Styela clava: one gene and its partners. Each later gene encodes a partner of the first gene's protein in a complex. Links are inferred from orthologs where the notes say so. Each region holds a gene or a part of one and is shown in the gene's direction. Other genes may lie near its edges.

The links.
Region 2: U6 snRNA-associated Sm-like protein LSm3 (region 1) and U4/U6 small nuclear ribonucleoprotein Prp4-like share a complex: the UniProt entries of both Homo sapiens proteins name them as parts of the precatalytic spliceosome. The link is inferred for Styela clava from reciprocal best matches to the Homo sapiens genes LSM3 and PRPF4.
Region 3: U6 snRNA-associated Sm-like protein LSm3 (region 1) and U6 snRNA-associated Sm-like protein LSm4 share a complex: the UniProt entries of both Homo sapiens proteins name them as parts of the precatalytic spliceosome. The link is inferred for Styela clava from reciprocal best matches to the Homo sapiens genes LSM3 and LSM4.
Region 4: U6 snRNA-associated Sm-like protein LSm3 (region 1) and U6 snRNA-associated Sm-like protein LSm2 share a complex: the UniProt entries of both Homo sapiens proteins name them as parts of the precatalytic spliceosome. The link is inferred for Styela clava from reciprocal best matches to the Homo sapiens genes LSM3 and LSM2.

The regions. Positions count from the first base shown.
Region 1 is NC_135261.1:10,469,703-10,476,718, forward strand, and holds U6 snRNA-associated Sm-like protein LSm3, read left to right. Parts: upstream 1-4,775; 5' UTR 4,776-4,916; coding exon 4,917-4,937; intron 4,938-5,844; coding exon 5,845-6,138; 3' UTR 6,139-6,512; downstream 6,513-7,016. Other genes in the region: dmX-like protein 1, read right to left, coding at 1,395-1,603, 2,112-2,171, 2,703-2,813, 3,268-3,349, 3,427-3,501, 4,108-4,233, 4,316-4,402. UniProt on the Homo sapiens protein: Plays a role in pre-mRNA splicing as component of the U4/U6-U5 tri-snRNP complex that is involved in spliceosome assembly, and as component of the precatalytic spliceosome (spliceosome B complex).
Region 2 is NC_135254.1:14,596,040-14,603,125, reverse strand, and holds the start of U4/U6 small nuclear ribonucleoprotein Prp4-like, read left to right. Parts: upstream 1-4,082; 5' UTR 4,083-4,155; coding exon 4,156-4,303; intron 4,304-4,700; coding exon 4,701-4,819; intron 4,820-5,511; coding exon 5,512-5,679; intron 5,680-5,759; coding exon 5,760-5,842; intron 5,843-6,290; coding exon 6,291-6,384; intron 6,385-6,760; coding exon 6,761-6,914; intron 6,915-7,086. Other genes in the region: 5'-nucleotidase domain-containing protein 3-like, read right to left, coding at 137-531, 1,484-1,734, 2,253-2,704. UniProt on the Homo sapiens protein: Plays a role in pre-mRNA splicing as component of the U4/U6-U5 tri-snRNP complex that is involved in spliceosome assembly, and as component of the precatalytic spliceosome (spliceosome B complex).
Region 3 is NC_135262.1:751,475-758,506, reverse strand, and holds U6 snRNA-associated Sm-like protein LSm4, read left to right. Parts: upstream 1-4,148; 5' UTR 4,149-4,204; coding exon 4,205-4,327; intron 4,328-5,261; coding exon 5,262-5,537; 3' UTR 5,538-6,528; downstream 6,529-7,032. UniProt on the Homo sapiens protein: Plays a role in pre-mRNA splicing as component of the U4/U6-U5 tri-snRNP complex that is involved in spliceosome assembly, and as component of the precatalytic spliceosome (spliceosome B complex).
Region 4 is NC_135250.1:9,209,684-9,216,383, forward strand, and holds U6 snRNA-associated Sm-like protein LSm2, read left to right. Parts: upstream 1-4,671; 5' UTR 4,672-4,810; coding exon 4,811-5,098; 3' UTR 5,099-6,196; downstream 6,197-6,700. Other genes in the region: protein D2-like, read left to right, coding at 773-789, 871-900, 1,304-1,681, 1,821-1,999; ufm1-specific protease 1-like, read left to right, coding at 6,252-6,700. UniProt on the Homo sapiens protein: Plays a role in pre-mRNA splicing as component of the U4/U6-U5 tri-snRNP complex that is involved in spliceosome assembly, and as component of the precatalytic spliceosome (spliceosome B complex).

The DNA.
Region 1 (7,016 bases):
TTAGAGTACTATACGCTAGATGTCACTGGAGGACCGTAAACTAAAACACCTCTTTCAAGAGGTCTCTCGTAACGTCAAAAAATAACAAAAATATTTACACTCTCTCATTCTATCAGCTGATAGACGTCTACAGCTATTGTAAAGCTGAAATGTGACTATACAGTTGACTGCACATTGGTTTTCTCTTTCATATGATACTAAACGCTTTTCCATAGCGCGCGTTGTTGAAGCGTTTTGGAAATTTTCCGTTTGAGAAGTCACCACATCGAATCAGGCCAGGCTAAGCTTGATAGATCGATCGGTTGTTTGTTTGTGCTTTATCGCGTTGAAAGCTTTTGTGAGTCATAATAAAACATTTATTATGAATCATAAAAGCTTATAATCGTCAGACAAGGAGAATTTGCGAGATAAAACGCCTAACTTTTTTTCGGTGAGGCAGCTGCGATCAAACGACTCGATATTTTTATAACTTCCTGACGTTGTGAGATGTCCACTCTTCTATGTTATGTAGCATATAAAATGACCTTCAAAATAAGACCTTATCATACTAGCTTTTGTTATTGGTTAGCGCGCAACGCCAAGGTTTATGGAATCATTTTCTTGTTGTGCGACGTTTTTATATCGCAGCGGGAAGTACACGCGTGATATGTAAGCGAAATTTTATCACTTCTAAATGTCATATAAGGTTCATTCTCATATCGTTGTGTGGGGAATAAGATTTCCTTTCAAGCAAGACCATAACAAACATTCCAGACCTCATGGTATACACACAGCATTGCAAAACGTCGCGCATGCGTCAAACCGGGAGGATTAGGATAATTGGAAGGAGACCACAAAACTGATTTTTAAACTGAAGTCCAAGCTTATTTGTACAAATAGTTTTTGGACTAAGTATTTAGGAGTCAAACAAATAGATAAAATGTCCAAAGCAATTTAAATAATACCACTACACTGCTTCACATATTAAAATCCGGAAAAGTGAAAACTACAGTAAGCCTTACAGAAGTTATATAATAATTTTATCAACATATCTCGCATTTAACATAGCATAGTATTTTCCATATTTATCCATATAACAAAGATACCTTTTAATAACATATATCAGGGGTCGAGGCTCTATCCATTTACCAGTCCACATTGGTGTGAAATAACTAACCAGTTGAAAATCACAAACTGTGGAGTGAGGCTTGCAACAGTAATGAGTACAGCAATCCCCTTGAATAATGTAACTACATAGTAACGAGTAGGCTACATCATTTCCCTTGAACACACATAATTCCAATATCCGAGCACACACATGGGAATCAACATTGAAAGGAGAAGGACACAAAAAATGATAAATTGAAAACAAGAGAATTGAGAATATAAAACACAAAGTCAGAAAATTCCCTTACATTTTGAATATTCCCATCCTGAGTGTGTTTTTTGCCAGGACTGGAGGCATCTTTGAACAGGTGCATTGGCAGGGCATTTCGTTGATGCCATACTTTAATCATGGAGTCACCACAAGAAATAGAAGCAAACAAAGTATCATCAGGTGCATATTGAACATCATGCGGATTTTCTTCTATTCCGCTGCTCCAAGCCAACTCCCATTTTACTTCTGAAAAATGTTACGGATTTCAAATGTGAATATAATGTTGGCATAGAAAATTCATTGACAAGTGGGAACCATGTATCAACGATTTTTGAATGAAAAAAAGGCTGCAAATCCGTTTTATAAAGTATTACATATTTTCACTCCAAAGACAGGTCATTCCAGCAACTACTCAGAACGCTACTGGGTTGCAGAAAAGAGAACACTTTTTGGTATTCCCGAAGTATGTGAACCAAGATGGCAGACACCTAAATGTAGTATGTGTACCAGGTTAGGGATAGGCCATAATTTAATTCCAATTTTCCTTATTTTAGTGTTATCACGAGTTCGGGGACTAGCCAAGTGGCTCCTGCAGTCTTTGTACTTGAAATTATCGCCTGACCCTAACCATCTTGATTCACATGCTTCGGGAGCACCCATTTTTTTGCTTTCTTATAGCCTACACAATTTCACACATCCAAGTTTAACAGAAATTAAAAAAATTTCTGTTTTTGAAATATAACCATCAGTCTACCTTGAGGTACAGCTTCTTCTTCTGCTGTAAAATTGTCTTCTGTCTCATCTTCTTCCTCAACTAAAATATTGCAAAACAAAATTGAATAAAACATAAGTAATATTTAGAGTGAATAAGCCAAACGAATACGAGAAAGTCAAAATATGAAACTCCATAACTAGAATGATAGATTTCATTGATATCACAAGAGGGAAAAAATGATTATGATAACTGTGATAAAACTAAATTGGTTCTGTGCTGGTTATTTCAATGTCCCAGCATGTACTATCCCTCACAAGCAAACAGCCTGACTTAACTTAAGAGCTGTGAATTCTGAGACCTAGAGGTAAAGACGCAGGCTGGATATTTCATAAATCATATTTCGTAAACGATATTGCAGTTTGCAAAATTTTAGACGTCAGAGGTCAAAAAAAATTTAAACCCATAGGAGACAGGAGTTGAAATTTTGTAAAACTATGCTACACTGGAGTAGGGAAATAGAATCTAAAATACTCTTAATTCGTAGTTGTGAGTTCCGATGGAAAATACATCTGAATTGTCCTTTCAGATTTAGATTAATATTTGTTTGTTAGAAATACAAATAAATCTCACTTTCTTCAATAGAAAATTGCACTTTTAAAGTGTGACTCTTTGGTTCTTTTGCAGATTCTTTTTTGATCTCATACAGTAGTATCTCATTGCATCCAACAAGAAGTCTTTCACCTTCAAAATAATATTTGACAAGATATCATTAATAGTAAAACAAGCAGAGAAAATATGCGACAATAAGACAAATAAATTTATTTTGCGTCTACTCTAAATATACCGAAAAATGTCTTATATTTGTTGAATGAAAAATTAGAACATCTACATCTCAAAACTGATTTACTTACGACCAATTTCAAATTTAAATAAGTTGGTTAATCACACCAAATAAATGTAGAGTAACATACTTGCGTGCTACTTCGGATGCTATCTCAGCGGTTCTGTGATTTCAGACACATTAGTTAGCGTTCGGAACTGAATCCTATGAGAATGTCTTCATTAGATTAAACAATTGAGATCATGTTAAGCAAGTGAGATCGCATACCAAAGTGGCACCCAAAATTTTTATGCAATAATAAATAATTAATATTAAAACATAAATATATATATATTAATAAAGTCAATGCCATACCAGTAGATGCCCAGGACAAAACAGTTGCCCGTCCCACACTTTCTTTCAATGTTAATGTTGTTTCTTCAATCCATGTAAAAACCTGAAAAATGTATATTTTAATAAAAATGGTTTCAGTTTGTATCATTGCCTGTGAAGTTATGCGAGACAAATACTCACCGGTACATCGTCATTTTCGTTTCGCAAAAGTTTTGGATGATATATAACAATGTCTCGTCCATATGAAACAGCAATCTAGAAAACAATATGGTGGTAAATGATACAATAAAAGTATTCCTGCAAGTTGCAATTTCAAATATTGATCTATTCAAAATAATCATAGTGAATGCTTTGTAGTTCGTAACACACTTGTAAACAATAATTCTGTGACATAAATAGCAGAAAATGCTATTCAATTTCATTCTAAGCTTTTAAAATTCAGAAAGTATTTGTACAAATATTCTAATTTAAACTAAATTGGCCTTCAACACAAACTGTTTATGGAGTGGCCATTCATTGAACATACCTTCAGAAAATTAAAGTTCTAAAAATGTTCAACTAAAATTTATAAGATTTTGATAAGACAATTTCACCTAACCTCCCCAAATAAGTCTTTGTACAGAAAGCTACTTATTAGTGGCATGCTGCATAGGTTCAATAAAAATAACCTATGTAAACCATGGCACTTTTACAATGAAGTAGAGGACATAAATTGAGATTGAACAAAACGAGGCTTGATCTCATGATCTCTAACATAAAGTGACAGACTGACAGTATACTCAGTCCTCTACTTAGGATATCATACCCACAAAATTAAAATATAGTTTGCCAAATACTGAAATAGATATAAATATAGCCTACCTTTCCAACAAATTGACAGCAATCCAGACAAGTAATAAGTTTGTACCCTTTTACATGACCAGGTATAATGTGAATGGGTTGAAGATCTACTCCCAATATTACCAGATCACATCCTGATCCATATGCCTGAATACAAAATAATTTCGGCTATAAGAACTTAATCTACAAACGACTGCAAATGGTTGTGTATATTATCTTGCTACCTTACCCAAAACGTGAAACTTGCAATGCTGCCTACACTGAAACAGTGATTTCCTGGGTTAACAGCTCCAGTTAAAACTTGATGTCGCCGCATCCCGGTACATTAAATTGTTTCAATTAAACGACAAATTCCATACAATACAACAAAGTCGCAAATTACAAAGACCAAGATACTCTATCTACAGACCTAAGGAACCAGTCAGCGAAAGACATAAACAAAGTCGATTGATTGACGTTTGGTCGATCAAGATTTCACAACAAAAAATCAATTTTTATCTGGGTTAATATATTTGATTACTAATGGCTTATATGTATATTTTTTAAGTACAAATATGAAAATATAGGTTATTATTTTTACTTTCAAAACAGTATTCCGTGAATTATGGTTTTGTAGAAAAGGGGAAATATAAAAAAGTTATCGGTCATGGGTCACTAGTTCTATTGGTATCCCCGCCTATGCCACGCCTCCAACACATTTCGATATGGAACGCGGGGATCAGGTAATTTAGCGCAAAAGAGCTAAGAAGCCTTGGGAATTTATTTGTCAAGCCTATTCGAAAAATTGTCACTTACCTAGAAAACTTGTGCTAGAGTTAAATCGCGGCAAAATGGCAGATGATGAGCAGCCGGTAAGAAATTTAATATTTGGTAATGAAACTTCAGGATAGATTTTTATTTCATGAAAAAGCTCTCTCCATGCAGCAATGATATGAGTTTCCTGTTCAATTTAGCACTCCTTACAAAATTATTCATACGGTGTGGCGAATATCTTTTTATTACTTTGTCTAGTTTTCATTTTTGTTTATCTTAGGTTCCTAGTTTGTTTTTCAATTATTACGGTACTGCATTATGTCTTTTCGGTTGTAGGCCTATTAATTTAATTCACACACATAAATAGGATTCACATATTTATCTCCCGGGGAGAGGTAAGTCGCTAAGACAGCTTAACAATATGGCGAACCAGGGCCTCTCGTCCGGTTTCCATGTCGGGTATAGGATTAGTTGTTTGTTTTCGGTAGCACGGACTTGATGGTGGAGGGAACCATAACTGACCAGCGGTTACGTGAACCACTCTATGACGGCGAGCAATCCTCTCGCACATAACTATCCCTGCATGGGTTTCGAACTTGCGAACCCACGCAGAGTAATCAAAGATGCGGTGGCAAGCATATTCCTAACGCTTAGCACGATGAGCCACACCGCCGCACCCCTACTCTTATGTAAATGATTCTGTAAATTTCAAACCTTATCTAAGGTTTTGTTTGCTCTCCTGATTCTGTAGTCGAAACAGACTTATACTTACAGTACGACACAGTTCTCAGATTCAAAGGATAGCCCCTACATCAAAAGATATCATTTATTACAGTGAGTGCAAACCCCTCTTTTAAGAGACAGTCTGGGCCTCTACATTGGCAAACCATTGCAGTCGTGCCAGATGCCCTCGTTTCAGAGACATCTTGGAATTAGAGAACTGTGCCCTACTGACTTACGACTGAAAAATGCTCAAATAACTTACATATAATCTTACTTTTACAGCCACCGCCAGTCACACAGACAGTAGAAGAGCCTCTTGATCTGATTCGATTGAGTTTGGACGAAAGGGTTTATGTAAAAATGCGAAACGAACGAGAACTTCGTGGTCGACTACATGCATACGACCAACATCTTAACATGGTTCTCGGAGAAGTAGAAGAAACCGTGACCGCAGTTGAAATTGATGAAGAGACTTATGAAGAAATTTATAAACAAACTAAAAGAAACATTCCAATGTTGTTTGTGCGAGGTGATGGAGTAATTTTGGTGTCGCCACCTCTTCGAGGAATGGCATGACACTGAAGTTTTTAACCATTGCACAAATATTTTACAACTAACTGAATGCTGTTCAGCATAGTCAGGAATATGTTGCATGAGCAGCATCCTTTAAAACAGGGAAATACATTAAAACCCTGGCAGTTATGCTGAAATTTAATAGGGGAGACAAAATTGAAAGATATACTCAGTTTCTTTTAAAAAGACAGTACAATTTCCTAATAAAATTGGTGAATGGTGTTGACTTTCGTACCACAAACTTTGCTCGAATCATACTTTTATTGTTAATCAGTGCTTTTCTTCCACCACCTATGCTTAAATCCATGATTTTGGAAATCCATTGTCATTGATATCACGACTTTCTTTTCCTTCAATAATATCTGACTAAAAAGGCATACTACGATCATTGAGTATGTATGATTGCGTACATTTAGAAAATATGCCTATTTAGAGGATCCTGGGATCAGAACTGCAATTAATAAAAGGGATTTGCTTTATTGGAATATTGACAACAGAACAAATTTGCGACCCACTGGTTGAAGAACTCCAAGTGTCTCCAGACTCCCACACCTTTACTGAATGGCCAATATTAACTTCTCCAGGCTGAATCATGGTGCTAAACACGAACAAATTTTTGCATGAAGTTTATCGAATGCACAGAATCCTGTCCTGCTTCGCTAGTATATAAACCTAATCAGCAGTATTACAGAAATAAACCAGAATTCCCCTTGACCACACTTTTTTGCTATTCCAAACAGTCATAAACACGGTTTATAATCAAAACTGTATTTTAATGGTCCGAATGAGAGCAAAGTGATCAAGGCTGTTTTGTTGTTTACTTCATGTTTCCAGGAACACTTATCAATCACTATATTGTAAAGGACGAGATACCAGAAAGC
Region 2 (7,086 bases), on another chromosome or scaffold:
TGCCTTCTAAACATACTCTCGGATTCGGATTTTATGCTTGATTGGGGAAATCTGAGTGTTGACAGGGGCCGGGTTATGGCACGCGGGCCGCCTGTTGCACACCCCTGCTCTAGGTCATCACACAATGCAGTCTTACCTCATGTCCACTCCATCCAGATATTTGCATCAAGTCCTGTATACAACCTCCATAATATACATTGCCTTTGGTGAATTCATGTACCCTCTCCCATGATACAGTATGGTTATTATCTCCATTGTTACCGTTTCTAGATGATTCTATAATCTTTTTAAATGGCCTCTTGTAATTTTGGAAGAATCCTGGCTTTTTTGCTTCAACGATAATAACATCAAATGCATCTCTCCAATCTTTCCCAATAAGATGCTTCATTCCAACATTAACAAATTGCAAGTTACTGTTGGTAATGAGAAATAACTTTCTTCCATTTGATGTTAAGTGATCAATCAGATGAGTTAAACTATTCTTTTTAAGATACTTATCCACATTACCATAAACTTCTTGAAAAAGATGGCCTGAAAAAGAATAATGATTTGTTGGTTAACACCAGAGCTTCAATTTCAGAGCCATAGTAGTGATGGTGCGGGCAAGCCTGCAACGCTGCAAGGAATTTTTTGCTGATTCAGATGACATAACAAATAATGACAATGTGAAGTGAGAAAAAATGGGTTTTAGGCTAACAACCATTTTTCAAAACCCAATTTTACTCACTGTAAAGCATTTGCAATAATGATGCAACGTCTACAGGTCATTAATGTGAAAAAAATTGAAATTGATATAGCTGTAAGACTTGACAGCATTTACTGATATCTACATATCAATGCACCATACTAAATTCTGTCAACAAATGTTGTTTTACTTTGCAATCAGGCAATTTCAGAGGACAGTGTTATATACATTATGGGATACTCCGGCACACATTAATTCCCCCCAGTTCGAACAGATCTTCATGGCTGAAGATTGGTATCGTGGGGTTGGGTACAATTTGTTTTTTGTACTTCCTGGAACAGTTGTCATAGTTACAATTTTAGTCAACCAGGTGTTGTTTTATATCTATTTGGAATCAGATTTAAAGTTTCAGAGGCACAGTCAGGTTAATGAATAATCAGCATTTAATGTTAGGTTCAAAAGGTTACTATTGTTAAAAATGAAAGAATCATTCTCACATCATCAATACCTTCTAAACTTAATCAATTACAAATGATGATCAGTATTAGACTATTAGGTGTGAAAATCATGCAGAACTATATCCAGTACTTGAAAATTAATGAACAGGTGACTTAACATCAGAGATTAGGTATAATACATAATAGTCATTAATGAATTATATAGGGAATTTCACCAAAGCCTCGAAAAGAATTATATCCTGATTCATGATTTCGGGTTACAAAATTAATAACTTGATTTATGTATAGTCGTCGAGCTTCAATTCAGGTATATTCAGATCTACTATAAACTAAAACATACCTCCAACATGAACTTGCTTGACAGCTGCTTGCACACTCTCAAATAAAATCTGTGGGTCATAAGTTATATTATTTTGGACAAAATACTCTACGACATTGGTGAGCAACATCATTTCAGGCATTGAAAATATATCCAGCAACTGTCTGAGAGAATTTCCTCCAAAGAGAGATTCATCCATGATACGTTTTGGAATATGACGACTTCCTTTAAATAGAGACAGTACTTCATCTTCACTAAGCTGTTTTAGCCCCCTGTTAAGAACAGATATTAAAAAAATTTATATGAGTATTGATTTTCAAAAATAAAGAGTTGTGCTAATTTTTTCCACTACTGGCTTGACTTCCGCCTCAGCTGGTCAAATGAAAAAATGCCTTTTCTCTATTGTATAAAATATATCTCAGATGTATTCAAATATTCGATGCATTCACAGCATCTGGATGCTATCAATTCTATGTTCAGATATGGGATCTTCATATTTATCCTGGGGCAGTGGAAAGCCAAGTAGACGTCTTAATCATATTGCAAGCATGATCACTCAAACTCGAAATAGGTGAGCAAGTCAATTAATACTTGGATGACAAGTTTTCAAACCTTCATGATTCGTAACTTTTAAAGACACTGAACAAGTGGAAACGTTTTTTTATAATTTTTTTTTATGGCTGGTGAAAGAATCTGTATTGGACCAGCAAATACGTGACCTGCACACTGCACCGCTGTCATCCTTATCTTTGTTATTAACATGTGATATGTAATATTCAAATTGTTTTACCTGTACACTGAACCCAATTGAATGACGTGACAAGCATCTATTTTCATGAGTAAACTGCGTTGAATGTCATAATGAAGACCTCTAATGCAGAACCCTGGAACGTACTTGTAGTTCAAAAGCTCTTTGGGAAAATGGAACTGTTTGTGTAATATTTCAGTTGCTCTGTCATATATGAATGTTTGCATGTCATCAGAATAATGAGCGAGAGTATAATCATAGTCAAATCCATAAACTTTTATTTCTCCCAAATTGATTTGATTAATGGCAAAAAGTCCACGAGGATTAACATTGCAAATCTGTTGATGGTCATCAAAAATAAGAGCTCTCAGTTCGTTATAACGATTCTGCATAAATTCTTGATTTGAACATGACTCTTGTGAGAAAAAACGTGGACATATACTCCTTCCTTTCAGTCGACCAATCAGCGGCCTTAAACAAAAACTTGTTGACATTGTGGATCACCTGAAAAGCACAATTATGGTTTATTTTCATTTCTAAAACATATCACAAATAAACGGCCAAGTCTATATCAAAACAATTTTCAACATTCTCATAAAAATAATTTACTTTCAAAATGCCTCAAAAACAAGATATTTCAGAAAGGAATATATAAACAAATTACTGAATTTACTGTCATACATTCAACCATGAAAATAATTTTATTGATAACTGTCATTGCTCTGTTCGTATCATACATCCTAAAGTCTGTAAGCTCTATGTTGCAATCAGCAGTCATCCCACTGCAGCACTGTTGTGCATTCAGGCATTGTCTCTATTTCAATATTGCAGTATTGTGGGTTATTTCATGTTTCAAAAGCTATATTTGATTACAATCGTACAAATTCTCACTGGTATGCCTACATCAAAAACTACATGCATAACGACTCACCTAAATAGCTTTTTCCGTTAACAGGTTAAGTAAGACAGCGATGAAGTCTGCAAGCCAACAATAAATCCTGAACTAACTCGATTGCCAGAACACAGTCTCTGATTGTTCCGACGTTATTTTCAAATATATTGTCGAGGCATTTTAAAAAGAACTCATCCACACCACTGTTTATTATTTGGAAGACAACCAACATCCAGACATTGCTCCCCACCTGCCCACGGTGATACAAACGCAAATAAATGCCGCAAGGTCTGAAGATTGCACAACTTTATACCGTGCCGACTCAAGCATTAACCGGCCAGACAGTCAGACAATATTATTTGGACCAATCGCCGCATAGTCTCACTCTAGGCTCCGCCCACAATGCGGCATCTGTTGAAATTAGTTTTTAATGCGGTTGTTCCATTCAATCCAACGACTAACGTACCGATTCAATCCTATCACTTGTTAGCGTGCATGCCTCGCACTGGTATATTTATAGCATGAAAACGATTACATATCTTCGTCTATAGTTGTTCATAATCAATCAGTATGAATTTTCTGTTCTTTTCCGGGACTGTGTTAGGATTCCATGCGCATTTGTTGAAATCGGTTTTTCAGTGTTTAGGAGAGTTTTCGAGGCCACTGTTGCTAATATTCCCGTCTGCATGTGGGAAAGTGTCGTAGCCATATTCTGAAATACATTCATACCTATTTTTCCGGCTTTTCATAATCAATCAGTGAAGATTTTCTGTTTGTTTGGTATTAATTTGTAACGTGAGTAGGGGATCATCTTGGCGCGGCCGATTTCGAAGGTACCGTGGTAAAACAGATTTTCCTGTTTGCCCATTCAGTCATTGATACTACTGTACTATCGTATGGGATATCTGGTTTTCGCCTTGTGCTTATACGGTACTGTTATAAACCAGTAAACACAGAAGTTGACTGGGAGTTAAGAGAGTATTTTACTTAACAGATTATTATCTGGATATATGCATGAATAAGTAAACTGTTCCAAATAAAAAAGACAGAAGGATGTCTGACTCCGATTCTGATGGTGAAGCTCCAAGAAAGATTAGGAAGACTGTCCAATATGGAAGCATTGAAAACAGAGTCGGTATGTCTGGGGAAGAAGCAATTCAGCTTGGAATTAAAGCAGGAAATATTAATATCACCAACATGAGTAAGTATTGATAATATATGTTATGAATTCTGCGTTACTTTTATCACTGTATTACAGCATTTTTATAGTTTTTTGTGAACACAATTTACATGCATTTCTCTCTGAATAAGGCTGTATACAAGCAGTCACTTATATTGGGGTACACAACACACGAGGCCACATCTTGGTAAAACTAAATTGATATACAGATATACTAATATCAACTTCCATTGCATCAGAATTTTAATTAGGAAGTAGGTTTTGCTTCAATTTGGACCCACTATTTAAATATGTGGTTTCAACATATCTAAGTGCAATGCTTTATCCACTGAGCTGTCACTCTAACTTTTTACGCAACATAATTTATTATGTTTTCAACTGAGAATTTTGCTTCCTATTCAATTGAAATTTTTAACAGGTGATACCATGGAAATGTCAATTGAAGACAGAATAAATAAACGACAAGCAGAAATTCTTGCTGAATTTGAAAGAAAGAAACAGCTACGACAAATCCAAGTTACAACAGATGACGTAGAGGTATTATTATATTGGATCGACTTAAGCGTCCTGAAATTGACTACCCCAACACATTTTAAACTTAGTATTAAATTATAAATAAGGATCCCCAAAATCTAAGTAAATAACTCTTCATTATGAGAATTCAATATTATAACTTCCTATGCTTAAGATTATAAGTTTTTTTTTCAAAACATTTACCTTTTTAGTGGAAATCAAATCAAGTCAAAACTGAATTTGGCTTGGACCATGTTCTGTTTACATAAAATTAATAGCTTCACAGAATTTGTAAACAAAAAAACTATGCATTCATAAATAATATGCATAGGAAGCCTTATATCCTTACTATGATCTTCAAAGACAAATTATTAAAAAGCCCCATTTTTGACTGTTCATTCAAATGTCATGTTTTATTTTTTAGTCAACAAACTTCATCAGATTTAACTAGGAATAAAACTTTACAAACAAAAGTAATGATTTTTTACTAATAGGGTATATTCCTAGTCAGAGGATTTTCATACGAAAACTTTTTTGTGGAACTGCTAACACTTACATTCTTATACCCGCATTTTCTGCTTCGTACAATTCCATCCCAACTATCGAGTATAGTAGCATAATTCCAGTAATAATATCTTTTCAAGTTGTTGTTTAGGCCCAATTTGTGTTAAAAATTGGAATAATAGCTATTAGACAACATTATGTGATTAAAATAGGTGAGAAAACAACTTCGAGAATTCGGCGAACCCATAACCTTGTTTGGTGAAGGTCCTGCGGACAGGAGGGAACGTCTCCGTGAGATTATTGGACTCATTGGTGAAGATAATTTAAAGAAAAACAAAATTTCAGAGAAGCAATTGTTGGCCCAGAAAGAAAAAGAAGAGGTAACGTTTAAACTGATTAAGAGATTGTGATTGAAAGAACGGATTATGTGTAAAGAGGCTTATAATATTCTTCCTTTTAGCTCGCTAAGACAACATGGTATCACGAAGGTCCAGAAAGTCTAAAGGCAGCAAGAATGTGGATTGCTGACTTTTCTATTCCAAGGTAACTTTTTTGATTTTTCAAGGAAAGATTGGATAACGTAGTATTGCTCAAGTAAGAGAGTAATGATTATTGATCACACTGATAAAATATAAACTAACCTGATAAAAGTGGTAATTTAGTAAAAATATAGAGTAAATTAGAAATTAAATACTTTCTGTGTAAACTAGTGGTGCCAGTTCATTATAAATTGAAACTTAAAATATACGTTTATTCGAACCGTTTGTCCTGAACAAGGCCCTATTCAAGATGCCACTGATATATGAAGAGCCACTATTTTTGTGGAGATCCAAGTCTTTCCAGTTCATCATTGCCTACAGTGGGGATGGGATTTGAACCTAATATGTGTATCACAGTTAAGTCAACTACTAGGCCATGGCATATTATTGTAGTTTTGATATTGTCAATTTTTGGAAAATTTTTTACTGAAATATATTATATATTGTTTCAGGGCGAAGGCAAGGTTGCAGAAAGCGAGAGAACAACAGGAGCAATCAACAACACAAAAACATGCAAGGGTACAAGAGATACACAGGCATATGCGAGTATGTTCATTGACAAAATCAGCTGTTACTCGAACAGAAAATTATATAAGGACTTGGACTTGATATTCCATAAAAGTCGAATTATTGAATTATTTTATATTGTGCACTGAAATGAGTAGTTTATAGCGTGGCTGTGACTCCTGTGAGGTAAAAAAAATGAGGTCTCGGAGCTGAACCCACAGTTTGAATATACTGTGGCTCCGTAATCATTGTGATTTTGCCAAGCCAAATCAGTTTTCAAGACCTGAGAGTAAAACTCAAACCACATATTTTAGTTGGTTATCAGCTTAGGTAGGTGTTGGAATAATTGACCAACTGTACCACAAGCTAACAAATATGATGAACAAATGATCAAATATATTTACTTTTTTAATAGGCGGTAAACAGTGTCGGAAGTCAAATCGGTGATTCAAGGCCAATATCTTCTTGTAAATTCAGTCCTAATTCTAAAATACTTGCAACAACGTCATGGAGTGGTTTGTGTAAACTGTGGTCAGTTCCTGATTGTGAGGAAATTAATACTTTAAGAGGTATGTGATGGTAACTGTTGTTCTTTTAATTGTATGTTACAGACAACAAAAGTAAGAAAGTTAGAATTTGATATCTGTATATATGCTGCTTCTCAAAATTATTTTTCATTTGAAAAATATTCAATGTTTGGAATTTGGGTTTTTTGTCATCCCTAATGGGCCTAGGGTCCAA
Region 3 (7,032 bases), on another chromosome or scaffold:
TGACCAAAATCATATTTCCTCATACAAACGTAATCCAATTCAATTAGCATTTTCGGGGTCCAATTGACCTTTTGTTGTAGCTGAAGCCATGCTTACCAAAATATCTAGTGGTTAGGGTTAGGCCATAATTTTATTCCGGTTTTCCTTATTTTAGTTCTATTACGAGTTTGGGGACTGTCTGTATTAGCCAAGTAAATATACCCCCTGCCAATAGGTTTCAGTCCCTTCACACAACATGATGTGAAGTAAGCGAACAAAATTAGTTACTTTCATATTGGTACACATACTTCTGGAGCGCAGGTATTAATCTTTCCTGCTTATTATTTTCATGTACTTTTTATTATTGTAATATTATCTGTATTATCAATCACTGCATGTATTTTTAGAAATTCAGATTCTAGATAAAATAATTTACTTTCTTCAACAAAAGGAGGGGGAACCACCTACTTAAAATTAAACCTGGTGAGTTTATTTTCATTCTGTTTGTAAATCAAGTAGGCAGTAAGAATGTTGGAGTTCACTTAAACTATATTGCATAAAATGAATTTATCATTCAATCTTCAATGCAGCGGTTCCCATCAAGGGGCTGTGGCCCACAGATCAGTTGGAAAAACTGATTCTGCCTTTCTCTTCACAAGAAAACTCACAGTTCTTCCTAGTTTCATTGCTTGATAAGGTTATTTCACAGAGTGTTTCACTTTGTTGAGCAGGAATTGTTTGAACATGATGAGATGGAGGGACATGAGTGCTGAAAGCCTCTGGCCAGGAGCCATAAATGATTGGCAATCACGGCTTCAATGGGTCCTTAGCGTTGGACTTCACTTAACTCTCCATGCATCCCTCCAGTGGTTTGATGATATGCGTGTTTCAACGCTTGGACAGTGGTGCCCAACCTAGTTCGTTAAATTCCTCTCGTTACTTATTAACTTTTTATTTCTCCCTCACTACCCATATGAACTACCTTAGTTATTCAGTCTTTAATCGATCCTTAGATAGTGTTATGAGCATGCCAGACTCCTTTTGTGCAGATTAATTAGTGCATTATGTGTACATAAATAAGGGTACTCCCATTCCAGGTTAGGGTAAGGCCCTAATTTTATTCCGATTTTCCTTATTTTAGTTCTATTACGACTTCAGTGACTGTCTGTGTTAGCCAAGTGAATATACCCCCTGCACATAGGTTTCAGTCCCTTTATATCGTTCCAATTATACCTATTTTATTCGTAAACTCATCTGACCTTCAAATTTTCTGCTTTTCTAGCGACCGCCCTGTATAATGCATATTGTTAATAAGCTTTAATGACTGCTTATGCGAGGCCATGTTCAGAGCAGAAGGCATGAATTAGCGCAGACATGGGCAAAGTATTGCCTGCAGGCCAAATCTGACATGTTGAGTGATTCAATCTGGCCCGCCTGATGCTGCCACAACCAAACCAAAACCAAATTTTGATGTTAAGCTAAAAATAGCTCAAAAAATTTGTTGAGATTGCAGTTAAATTTAGTTTTTGCGCGAAGCCTGTTGTTCTCCACTTTTTCTTTTGTAAAGCTGTGAATATTGTTCATAAAATAACTTTTTGTGGCCCGCCAGTCAACGTGGGCAAAATTTTCGGCCCCTGACCCATAAACTTAGCCCACCTCTGAATTGGCATCGTATAAAAATACCTCTGTAATGTTACATTGAACATTTGTATTTAGACAACACTTCGTAGCAAAGGCCATGTCAAGTCCTGAGGAGGAGGGGGAACCCCCTGCCAGAATGATAAAGCTATGCTCACATGATTCACTGTCAAGATCGAACTTAGTGGTTGCAAACAAAACTGAATATGATGTCACAATAGAGTGGATTGATTTGGCAGGTGACCGAGTTTGCTATATAAAACAATTACGTCCAGGAAAAGCAGTTGCAATTGTTACTTACGTCGGCCATTACTGGGTGTTTTGTGAAACAAACTCTCGTCACCCTCTAGTGGTAATTCCAGGAAGGCATTCTGTTTATTTCCCGATACCAAGTCACGAACGTGAATACCAAACAATCAGGGTTTCGAATCCTTTATTAACTTTACAACAGTCGTGTTTAAACTCAATCCACCGGAATATATTATCAAATTACTCCCGGATGGAAAATATTTTTCAAGAGATTGACTGTCTTGAGCTACCAACGTCAATTACGAGATCTCTGAAAAAACTTTTCGAAGACCAGAATAATAAAAATATACCGATTTATATTTACCCCGAAGAACTTGAGGAGTAATATATATTTTTTTTTTTTGGAGGTGGTTCTTAATCTTTTTTCTTTTAAATCATGAATTAATTCTCGGTTAAAATTCATTCTAGAATTGTTGAGAAATAATAATGTTCTCATTTTCGTAAATAGCAATAAAATTGCAATATTTTCATTTCGTTTTTGTGAAAAATCTGTATTTCTTTTCATCAGTACATAAATAGCTGCTATATATAACGCTGCGTTGTCTCTTTACCCATTTACTATTTCATTACTTTATAATAAAATTCTTAGTTTTCCTCGAATTAAGAAAAACTATAGCTTAGAGCAGCGGTTCCCAACCTTCTATTGATCATGGTCCCATTCAGAGGGCTCTTAACACACATGGCCTGCTGTTTATCATTCCAATGGTATTTATAGCGTTATTTTGATTGGTCGATTCCAAATCCTATTACCGTATGTTCAAACAACATCATGCACAAAAAAGCAACGAAAACACCCTGTGAAATAACCTTATCAGGCTATAAAACTAGGAAGAACGAGAGGTTTTCTTGTGAAGGGAAAAGTTAAATCAGTTTTGTGCCAAGCATTGTGGCCCTCCCTCCAACTTCTCTGTGGCCCCCGATTGGGAACCGCTGAGAATTCCGAGTGTGTCATATTTTTTTAAATACTGTATTATGTCTTTGGAACTACTTTTGATTTCAATCAATATTAATTTCACACAGGGACGTTCAAAACAGATATTGGTTATATTCGATTTAGTAAATTAGGATAGGATAGGATTTACATATTTATTCCGAGAGAGAGTAAAGTTGATAGGACGTCTTAACCATATGGCGAACCACGGCCTCTCGTCCGGTTACCATTCCATGTCGAGTATGGGATTAGTTATTTGTTTTCAGAAGCATGGACTTGATGGTGGAGGAAGCCGTAATTCTTGAATTCAGGAATAATTTTGAATATTTTCTTTTGAAAATGTCTTTTTGAGCATTTATTATATTGTGACAGACAAAAAATTAGTAACTTCTCACAGAATAAAATGGAGAATACCAATTAAAACGGTATTTATCCCAATTATTCCGCTTAACCAAGTTTGATTTTATGAATCTACAATTTTCTTCTTTTGAAGAGACTCATTTCAGAATGTATTCGATATTTTAAATTCAAAAATATTATTTCAGGAAGTATTCGTAGTATTACAGTATTCACTCTTCGCTTTAGTTTTTAATCATTTTGGCTTCTTACTCTTGTATGACCTAATATTAGACTTTTCCTAGGTGTCACTGCTCGATAACCAGCACAGGTTTATTGTTTCCCCTTTTCACCCAAAAAGGCTTTTTTTTTCACCTCGTTTGGGGCTCCCGAAGTATGCGAACCAAGATGGCGGACATCGGAATGTAATATGTGTACTAGGTTAGGGTTAGGCCATAATTTTAGGTATGAATACTACGGGAGGCTCTTCGAACTGATAATAGGACTAAAATAAGGAAAATTGGAAAAAAATTATCGCCTGACCCTAACCTGTTACCCATGTTACGTTCCGATGTCCGCCATCTTGGTTCGCATACTTCGGGAGCACCCCTCGTTCTGTATGTAAAAATTATTCACAATATGGTGAAAAAACTAACTACTGATTACAGATAGATAAAATATTCTTAATTATTTCTCTCATTAATTGTTTAACATAAGTGTTTCTAAATATGCTTTTGTATCGGAATAACTGTTTTAAATATATATAAATTACTTATCTATACAAATTTTCTTTTTTATTTCAGTCTTAGTAAGACATATGCCCTTAGCAATGCTACCTTTTCATTTATCGGCTGATGATAAAGTTTTAAATAAAAATTTCCTTCATTAATTGTTTATATCAAGTAATTCCGAATACTAAATATGCTTTTGTATCAAAACAACTGTACTAAATATAACAAATTTTCCTTATTATTTCAGTTATTGTAAATCTTAGACAAAGCAATTTTAGCAATGTTACCTTTATCTTTATTAAAGACAGCTGTGAACCATCCCATGCTGGTGGAATTGAAGAATGGAGAAACGTATAACGGACATCTGGTTAATTGTGATAATTGGATGAATATTAATCTGAGGGTAGGTTTTGCTCTTGGTTATGGATTTGATCATTCAAATTTGGAATCGTTATTTCATCAAATTTCTATGAAGCAGGGTTGAGATGCTTGGCGTGGCACAACACTGGGTGATCCTCCCCCTCGAAGGTTGAATCCTCTGGGAGATAGAATAAGATTTACATATTCGTCCCTGGCGAGAGAAAAGTCATTAAGACGGCTTAGTCGTATAGCGAAGTACGGCCTCTCGTCCGGTTACCATTCCAAGTCGGGTATGGGATTAGTCAGTTATTTGTTTTCGGAAGCATGGACTTGATGGTGGAGGAAGCCGTAACTGACCAGCGGTTACGTAAACCACCCTATTGGGCAAGGAGTCCAGAAATCCTCTTGCACATAGCCATCCCCAAATGGGATTCGAACCTGCACACCCATGTAGGGTAATCAGAGGTGTGGTGGCGAGTATATTCTAAAGCTTAGAACAATGCTATAAGTTTGAAATGATACGAAGAGCTTGTTCATATGAATGATTGTTTTTTTTTTACATTTCAATGCAGTGTTCAAGTTATCTGACTAAATAACAACATGTTTGGTGATGCAAATGAAGTATTAAACTTCCAGGCAAATCTCATCAAACCTATCCTAAGATCAGGGGCCAGGTTTTCAAAAGGGGGCGGTTCTGAAATTGGGAATAAACACACCAGCTTCTAAAACAGGCGCCGTGATTAAGTTGAAATGAACTTTTTCATCGGATAATGATTTTTCTGTTTCGTAAAATGTTCAATCCAGGGCCGATGTGAAATAGACTTTTCAACCCACAAATTACCACACACCGAAGCCCCCCCCCTGGTAATTCCCCTGCCTAAAATTAACAGAACAAAACAGATCAGAAAATTGATGACGGAGCGTTACATGAAAGCTCTCCCTATTTTTAATTTTTCATGTATCTTTTCATGTCTCAGGAAGTCATCTGCACTTCAAGAGACGGCGACCATTTTTGGAAAATGCCGGAGTGTTACATACGAGGCAGCACAATCAAGTATCTACGAATTCCCGATGAAATTATCGACATGGTAAAAGAAGAAAATTTCTCTAAAGGTCGCGGAAGAGGGCGAGGTCCAAGGGGCCGTGGAGGAGGCCCGAATAGAGGTGGATTTGGAGGTCGTGGAAGGTCACAAGGGGGAGGACGTGGAGGCCAGGGAGGGAAAAAACCACAAAGACCCAAACCCCAAGAGTGATAAAGGGGAATCAATTTGATGTGTCTGTTTGGAGGAGAAACTACTACAAGTCATTCTTGTGTGGTTACTGAAAGAAATTCTTGTCTGATAAGTTGACTTGATTATTTATTCACATACCACTAGCTCGTGGCTCGATTCATGATTAGTTTTTTTGCTAAATAACCATTCAAAGTTGAGTCTCATTTACCTCTGATTGAGTGCCCATAATGCACCATTATAGTCATAGTCTAGTTTATTTTTTCCCATTCAGTAAAAAATAACATACGAAATTAACAAAATACAAAACTGAAAACACATTTTTACTGGGGAAGGGAAGTCGCGGGGAACCAGGAATGGTTATCGAGCAGCGACACCCGACATTATGATTCTATATTGTTCCAGTAGCTTTGACTTTTTTAGTGATTGCACATAACTTCACTCAGAGATGAGTCCACTTTACTTTTTGGTGAGTGCGCATAGTGCTTCATGATTCTATATATTTTTAGTGGTCGCTTTCTGCGATTGCACATGACTTCGCTCAGAGGCGAGTCTTCTTTACTTTTGAGAGAATTCTTTTAATGGATAATTTGAACTACGGTCTCTTGTCTGGTCACAAGTTTAGGGTGGATATAAAAATAGTTACCGTATGTACTTTTTAGTTATGTAATTCACTTCAGGTTCGTGGACTTGATAGCCAGGAATTTTCAAAGGGGGGAGGGGATTCTTAAATTTTAATTGCCAAGTTAAACCATAACAGCTAGTGGGTCTCAATGCTTGCAATATTCGAGAAATTGAATTGCCTTACATGTTCTCTCCCCGGGCTTTGCCCTTGTTGGTGGCGTCCTAAACTAAAATGTCTCGTGTTTTAAACCTCAAGCTTTGGCAATATTCCTGAATTTCAGCTTTGTGTGTTTGTATTTTTGTACCAATGTTATTTCACTAATCAATCAAGTTTGGAATACAGAATAACTGCTGCAATGTGAACACTGAATAAATTTGTGTGGGAACAGGATATTTTCATATTTCAGGAAGTTGGTTTTCTTATTTCAATCATAGTTTCTCATTCAGATAACAACGAGTGTAGAATATGGAAATAAATATCCGAACCAGATATGTGGCGCTGTTTTTTTGCTGGTAGTTAGGGAATGTGTTTTTTTTTTCGAAGTCCAGGTAACTTCGCTTCAACATACATACATGTATGTTTATTCGTCTCGTAAATACACTCTTAAGGCTTTTCGAGTAGTTATAGTTCTCAAAAGTTTGAATACTTTTCAGTTCTCACAAAACTACATTCTCACAAAAGTACGTTTTCCCAAAACTTCATTCTCACAAAAGTACGTTTCCCCAAAACTACATTCTCACAAAAGTACTTTCTCGCAAAGCTACATTCTCACAAAAGTCCGTTCTCGCAAAACTAGATTCTTACAAAAGTTCGTTTACGGCTTTATGCAAAACTACATTCTCGCAAACCTACCTTCTCACAAAAGTACTTTCTTGAAAAGCTACATTCTCGCAA
Region 4 (6,700 bases), on another chromosome or scaffold:
GTGTATGCACATTCTTTGAATGGCTGTATATGCGCGGCGCGGCGCGGCGCGACGGTGTGGCTCAACGGGCTAAGCGTTAGGAATACGCTCGCCACCGCACCTCTTACTACTCTGCGTGCGTTCGCAGGTTCGAATCCCATGCAGGGATGGTTATGTGCGAGAGGATTGCTGGACTCCTCGCCGTCATTGGGTGGTTCACGTAACCGCTGGTCGGTTACGGCTTCCTCCACCACCAAGTCCATGATTCCGAAAACAAACAATACAGTAAAACTAATCCCATACCCGACTTGGAATGGTAACCGGACGAGAGGCCGTGGTTCGCCATATGGTTAAGCCGTCTTATCGGCTTTCCTCTCCCCCGGGATAAATATGTAAATCCTATCCTATCCTATGTTTATTGACTTGGCTGTATATGTACGTTAGTGGCTGTATATGTATATTACGTTACCCGTCATATCGATTTATATTCATTGACTTATTTAATTTTGCGTAATTTCAGATATCAAAAAAATGTGATTATTGTAAATCTGCTGCAACAGGAAATTATAGTCTGGCATTTTGTATATGCACAAGAATGCATAGAAATAAAAACATATTTCACTGTTGCAAATAACAGAACACAAGAGTCAATTACATATGTTCGTTTATATTTAAAATTTATATTTATTTGGGTTTCGAAATGTAAACAGTCATTTTTATAAGAATTGCAGAAAAAGCAACCATTTTGTTCACGCATTTGTACTAAATAATTATATTTCTTATATTTTTACAGTTGCTACGGACATGAATGTGAGTATATTAGATAATTTGTTAACTTAATTTATTAACTGATGGATAGTTCATCTATTTATTGATTGATTTTATTAACAGCTTGGATGTCAGATATGTTTATCAATGATTGTAAGTTGGTAAAATTGTGTTTGTAGTTCATTGTTCTCCAATCTGAAATTTGAGACAATTATTGGATCATTATCTTTACATTTCCTAAGCAATGGTGTTGTGATAGCGCACTTGAATTAATGAATTTCAACACACTGATAATTCACTTTTAAAGTGACTTACCTATACTGTATAAAAATATTAATTCGTCGCGTGATATTTGTATTGATATTAAAATATGAGTAGTAATGTAGTATTTGAATAGTTTTTCATTAGAGGAGTAATTGCTTTACATTTATTCAAACAAAAATCATTAACCATGGTAGCACTGAAAATTGTAGAAACTTAAATAATAGGAAATGTATAATGCATTACATTGCGTTGATTTAGAGCAACATTAAGTTCTCTCCATTTTTCAATTTAGTTATCGGTGATGATTTTTCCCAAGTACTTGCGGAAACTGATACATTCAGCCAAGATTGGATACAGCATGATCTAAAATCTGATTTAAATCTTAATACACCATGCGAGCAGACAGAAGTGTCTTTTGGAAGCATAGATGTCAAAAAAGGGGGAACGAAATTGACACCAACACAAGTAAAGTTTGCACCTACAGTCAAATGGACTGCGGAGAAAGATCAATTTTATACCCTGTTAATGATGGACCTAGATGCTCCTAGTCGGAAAAATCCAACATTTCGCGAATGGTTTCACTGGGGCGTCATCAATATCCCAGAGAATAACGTAAACGAAGGAGAAGTAATCACCACATACATGGGATCTACGCCTCCCAAAGGAACAGGTATTATCCATAGATATGATTCTCCATAGTGAGATTAAATAAACTTCTTTTGCATAAATACTGCAGTATTTTTGGAAAAATTTTGAACATAGAACAGCTAAAAATCATATTTTAATTATATATATTGTGTCACTTTTAGGCCCACACCGTTACGTCATATTAGTTTTCCAACAATCGGACAAAATAAAGTTTATGGACGAGAAAATAGGCCCAAATGGCGGATTCAGAGGTGGCCAAAGTGCAAAGAAGATAGCCGAAAAATACGGCCTCGGATCACCAGTAGCTGGCACATGGTTTGAAGCTGAATGGGAAGGATAGAATCTACTACAGTTGCACTTGTATAGTTAGTTCGAAAAGAGGCTGAGAAAGTTTTAATTGGTTCTGGTCTTCGTAGCTATAAAATTTTTGTAGTACTTAAACAACACATGGTGTATTATTATTGATTCTATCGCGCAGATAGCAAAACATATTACAAAGCTTCCACCATTGTTGAAAATTGCCGAAAATTTACATAGCCTACTTTTTCAAATAGTTTAAAGATATTTTTGGTGTGTATAATAAATATATCTAACACGATTTTGCATGGGTGCAAATGTTCGTGATTAGAAATGTATCTGGGTGCAAACGTGCGTAATTTGTATGGGGGTGCTAAAATCTAAGGTGCAAATGTATGGGTACAATTGCCCATGGGTGCGGAATTGTGCGGCAGTAAAGAAAGGCACAAAACATTTTATTCTTTTATTTGTTTTATTCTCAACTCTCCAATGAAGGCCGGGAACACGTCACAAATCGGTCGATACAAAGAAGCATTGCTACGACTCGTTGCTTGTTGTGATAAATCATAATCAGGAAATAGAGAAAATTACCTATTCATTGAATTTACACATAATTAATAAAAAGTATTGATTGAGGCGATAAATCTTAGTTACATTCCCCATTCGCTGAATTTGTTTTCAATTCCCAACATTGTGTAACCATAAATACCTTTGCATGCAGTCGATACGATATATATACTGGAGATACGGTGGATATCAATAGTAGCTTACAACTTTTATATAAAAACACAATAGCTTTCAATAGTTATATCCATAGATCACAAAGTTTGGTTCTGCCAACTCAATATCTTAGATTTGATTTTTTGAACAGCTTTTCAAATGAAAATGTTCGTGGTATTTTACTCAATGACAAAGTAAGATTGATCATAACAGTTTCATTGTTTTTTGAACACGCTTTTCACAAATATATTTCGCATTTGTATCGCACCGGATATCGTTTATGTTTCGGTTTTTTGAAAGTAAGAAGAGCGATTTGTCCTCTATTGATCTAGGTAGGTGCTTTGGTCGTTTGCGCGAACCGTAAATAGTTTACTTTGTTATCGTGTTTAGCTTATAAATGAGGCCAGATAGCAATTATTCGAATTAAAAATATATATATTAATACAAACATACATGACAAAAAGTTCACACGTGGTAAGGTCAGAAAAGAGCAATTGTAACTATTTTAAGTCCAATGCTTTCGTTTCCTGGTTGGTGTTTTGAAATTAAGAAAAAGCAATTCGTCTTCTACTGATAACCCTTCAGGTCGTTTGCGCGAATCCACAAAGTAATTCAGTCTTGTTATCACCAGAGCTAGCAAACATTGAAAGGTCGACGCGTGAAAAACTTTCACCTAAATGTCTGATGCATTTTTTTTTCAAATTTAATGTATTTGTTAAGAGGCTTCTTTCTACTTTTCGATCGTGGTCTTCTGGCATATGAATTTTCATTTTCTGAAAATTGTTTCGAATTAGTCATTCATTTTATATGCTGTTGCACCTCAATGAGTTCTGTTTTTTTTTGTCAAATATTCCCAGAGATTAAATAGGATATGTTTGACAAAGCGTTACAAATAATAAAAACGAACATAATATCGTAACACGTCATAAGCAGAAAATCATATTAACATAATACACCAACTATGTACGTCGTACGGATAGAAACTTACATCTAAATATTTGAATCTGTGTTTTAATACCCCGAGAAAATGAATTTATTTGTTATTGATGTTAATAAAAACATGTTTCTGAAAACTTGGTTTCTACGAAATTCATTATTAGAAAATTGGGAAAAATTAACTTTGTTCTCATAAATTTACATCAAATTAGGGTAAATCGTTTATTTGTTGTTGCTATATATTTTCCCATTATTCTGTTATTGTAAGGTTTTTTATATTCTTCTTCAAATTTTCTGTTGATTTCATATAAAAATGTTATTATGATGTCGAGTGTTGAGTCGAGCATCTACCGGAGACTGATTTTATTTTTATGTTTATTGCCGTTTAGTTTATTATTTATTTTATAAACCTCTTGCTGCTAACAGCGTTTGTAAATTTTTTAGAGTAATCTTTCTTGAAATATACGCACATACATTGCAAGAAAGAAAATCATGCATTTTTGCGTTTATTGTTTCTATAATAAAATTTTAATTTTTTACATTTCGTAGGACGTACAACGCGCTGACTGTTGAGTCGTGTAAACTGTAAATGACACCCGAGTTAGATAGTTTGTTTGTTGTGTGACGAAGAGTCTTCATACCGGTACATATTTCTTCATCATAATTATCAAGTTAACGTCTTAATTGATATTACGCATACCGGCGTATCGTTACTTTTGATCCGGTTAACCGACAGAATTTCAGTTCCGGATTATCCAACAACCACGATGAAGCGCCAGAAAATGCCTACAGTGATAGAAATATAGACCTTGTCTGTTAATGTACCAATATTTAAACTTATTTAGCTATGGTGGGCTGGTGTGATTGGTGCTGTAGTGAGATAGTATATCTGTATATGATATACGAATACCAATGACTTGGATGAATATTACAAGTTGGAACCAGAATGCAAAATTTTTCACAGCTGCTGGGCTATCTGGCTATGGTCCGACTCCGAGGGAAGTTATCTATAAAACTGATATTTACTACAGTATTATCATATTTCTAATTTCAGAAATTACAGTTAGGCTAGACTACTTATATACTATATAAAAATCTTTGAACTGTTTATTTATTGACATACGGTAGCAAAGTGCTGCCTGGTCAGTAAGATAAACTTATTACAGTATTAATACAGAATCTCATTTTGATAGGAATCATGTTATTCTACTCATTTTTTAAATCACTTGTGGGAAAAGACGTTGTTGTGGAACTGAAGAATGATTTAAGTATATGTGGAACTTTACATTCAGTGGATCAATATCTGAATATCAAATTAACAGACATAAGTGTAACAGATCCAGAAAAATATCCACATATGTTATCTGTGAAAAATTGTTTTATAAGAGGGTCAGTTGTTCGATATGTGCAACTTCCAGCTGATGAGGTCGACACAACACTACTTCAAGACGCAGCAAGAAAAGAAGCTGCGCAAAGCAAACAATGAGAGACATTTATGGTGCAATTTAGTGTGAATGAAATTTAAACTAGCGCATTTCACATGATAGAATATTGCATACATTGAGAATGTCTCGAGTATTGACAAAATATCTCATTATCAATACTGAGTCAAATTATGGACAGTACTTACACTCATGAACTATCTGTTCCAAAGTTATTAATATATTGAAAATCGATGCTCTATGTTGCAGTATCACTATTTGAAAATTATGCTATCTAAAATTTGTCTTATTTCTCACCACTGAGACGAGACAAAAAAATGACCAAACTTGAATTTTAGTTATGTGAACAATAAATATTCTGCTATTTACATTACCTAAAGCATATGCCAGTGTGGCATAAAATAGGGATGGCGATGTGGTTTTATTTATTGTCTTTCTTGTTTCACTAAACCCGGAAAAATTGGTCAGGAATTTTTTGAAGAATATTTCCTGAACTCCAAATTTAGTAGCAGTTTTGAAGTGTATTTATCTCTGAGAAAATAAAATCATGAATTTGCATCACAATTCTGTCATAGTATCCTACAATGTTCACATAAATTGACATCTCAGTGTTTGATTCATACCAAGTTCAGAAAGCAGTGAATATCTTGCAACAAATATGTCTGGCGTTAAGAGCCTCATTATTTTAATTCACCATTGTAATTGGTAAAAGGTGAATAAGAGCATAGTCAAAATCTAAATGTATGTTTTGTATCTCAAAATACAGTTATCAAAATCTATTTTATCGGTTGAAATTTCAGGGAGAATTCATTAACATATTCAATCGAAAATTTATGACATGATTAGAAGGTAATTTTTGATAGTCAATACAAAGCTGATTGCTCTATCTTCTTGATATACATTACTGTGACCCAAAAATTCATTGCAGTTTTTCATTATCTCTTTCCACCAATAAGAATCATGTTTTTACCATTTATGCTGCTTTTATCTGGCATGTTTTGCATCAACCTACACTGACAAATTGATGAATTTTTTTGGTTTTGTATGTTAGTGATTGTTGCCATTTCATCCACATGAACCATATTTCAATCATAACAATTTCGTGCCAATTTTCGTACCTAATACTGCTTTGAACTATTTAGGTCTTGTGATTTCATATTTTAGTATGCTGAATCTGATTGATAAATTTGAATAGCCATGAGCATGTCACCGGTCAAATCAACAAAATTCCCTGATGAATTACCCCATGATATCCACCGTGATTTATTGAATGAGTCTTTGGAGAATTGTAAAGTTGAAGCGGTCAAAGGCACATATGCGTATTATCATTATTTATGTGATGGAGTAGACGACAGAGGATGGGGTTGTGGTTACAGAACTCTACAGACTATGTGCAGTTGGATACATTATCATAAACAGAAAAACAGGACAAAAAGTAAAAATGAAACCACAAACAATGACAAAATTTATGATAAAATTACAGGACATGTACCATCTATATCAGAGGTTCAGCATGCATTGGTTTCAATGGGTGATAAGGAGCATTCATTTATGGGGTCAAAAGAGTGGATTGGTTCTTTCGAAATATCAATATGCATAGATTATGTGTATGACGTACCCTGTAGAATTGTGCATGTTCCCCAAGG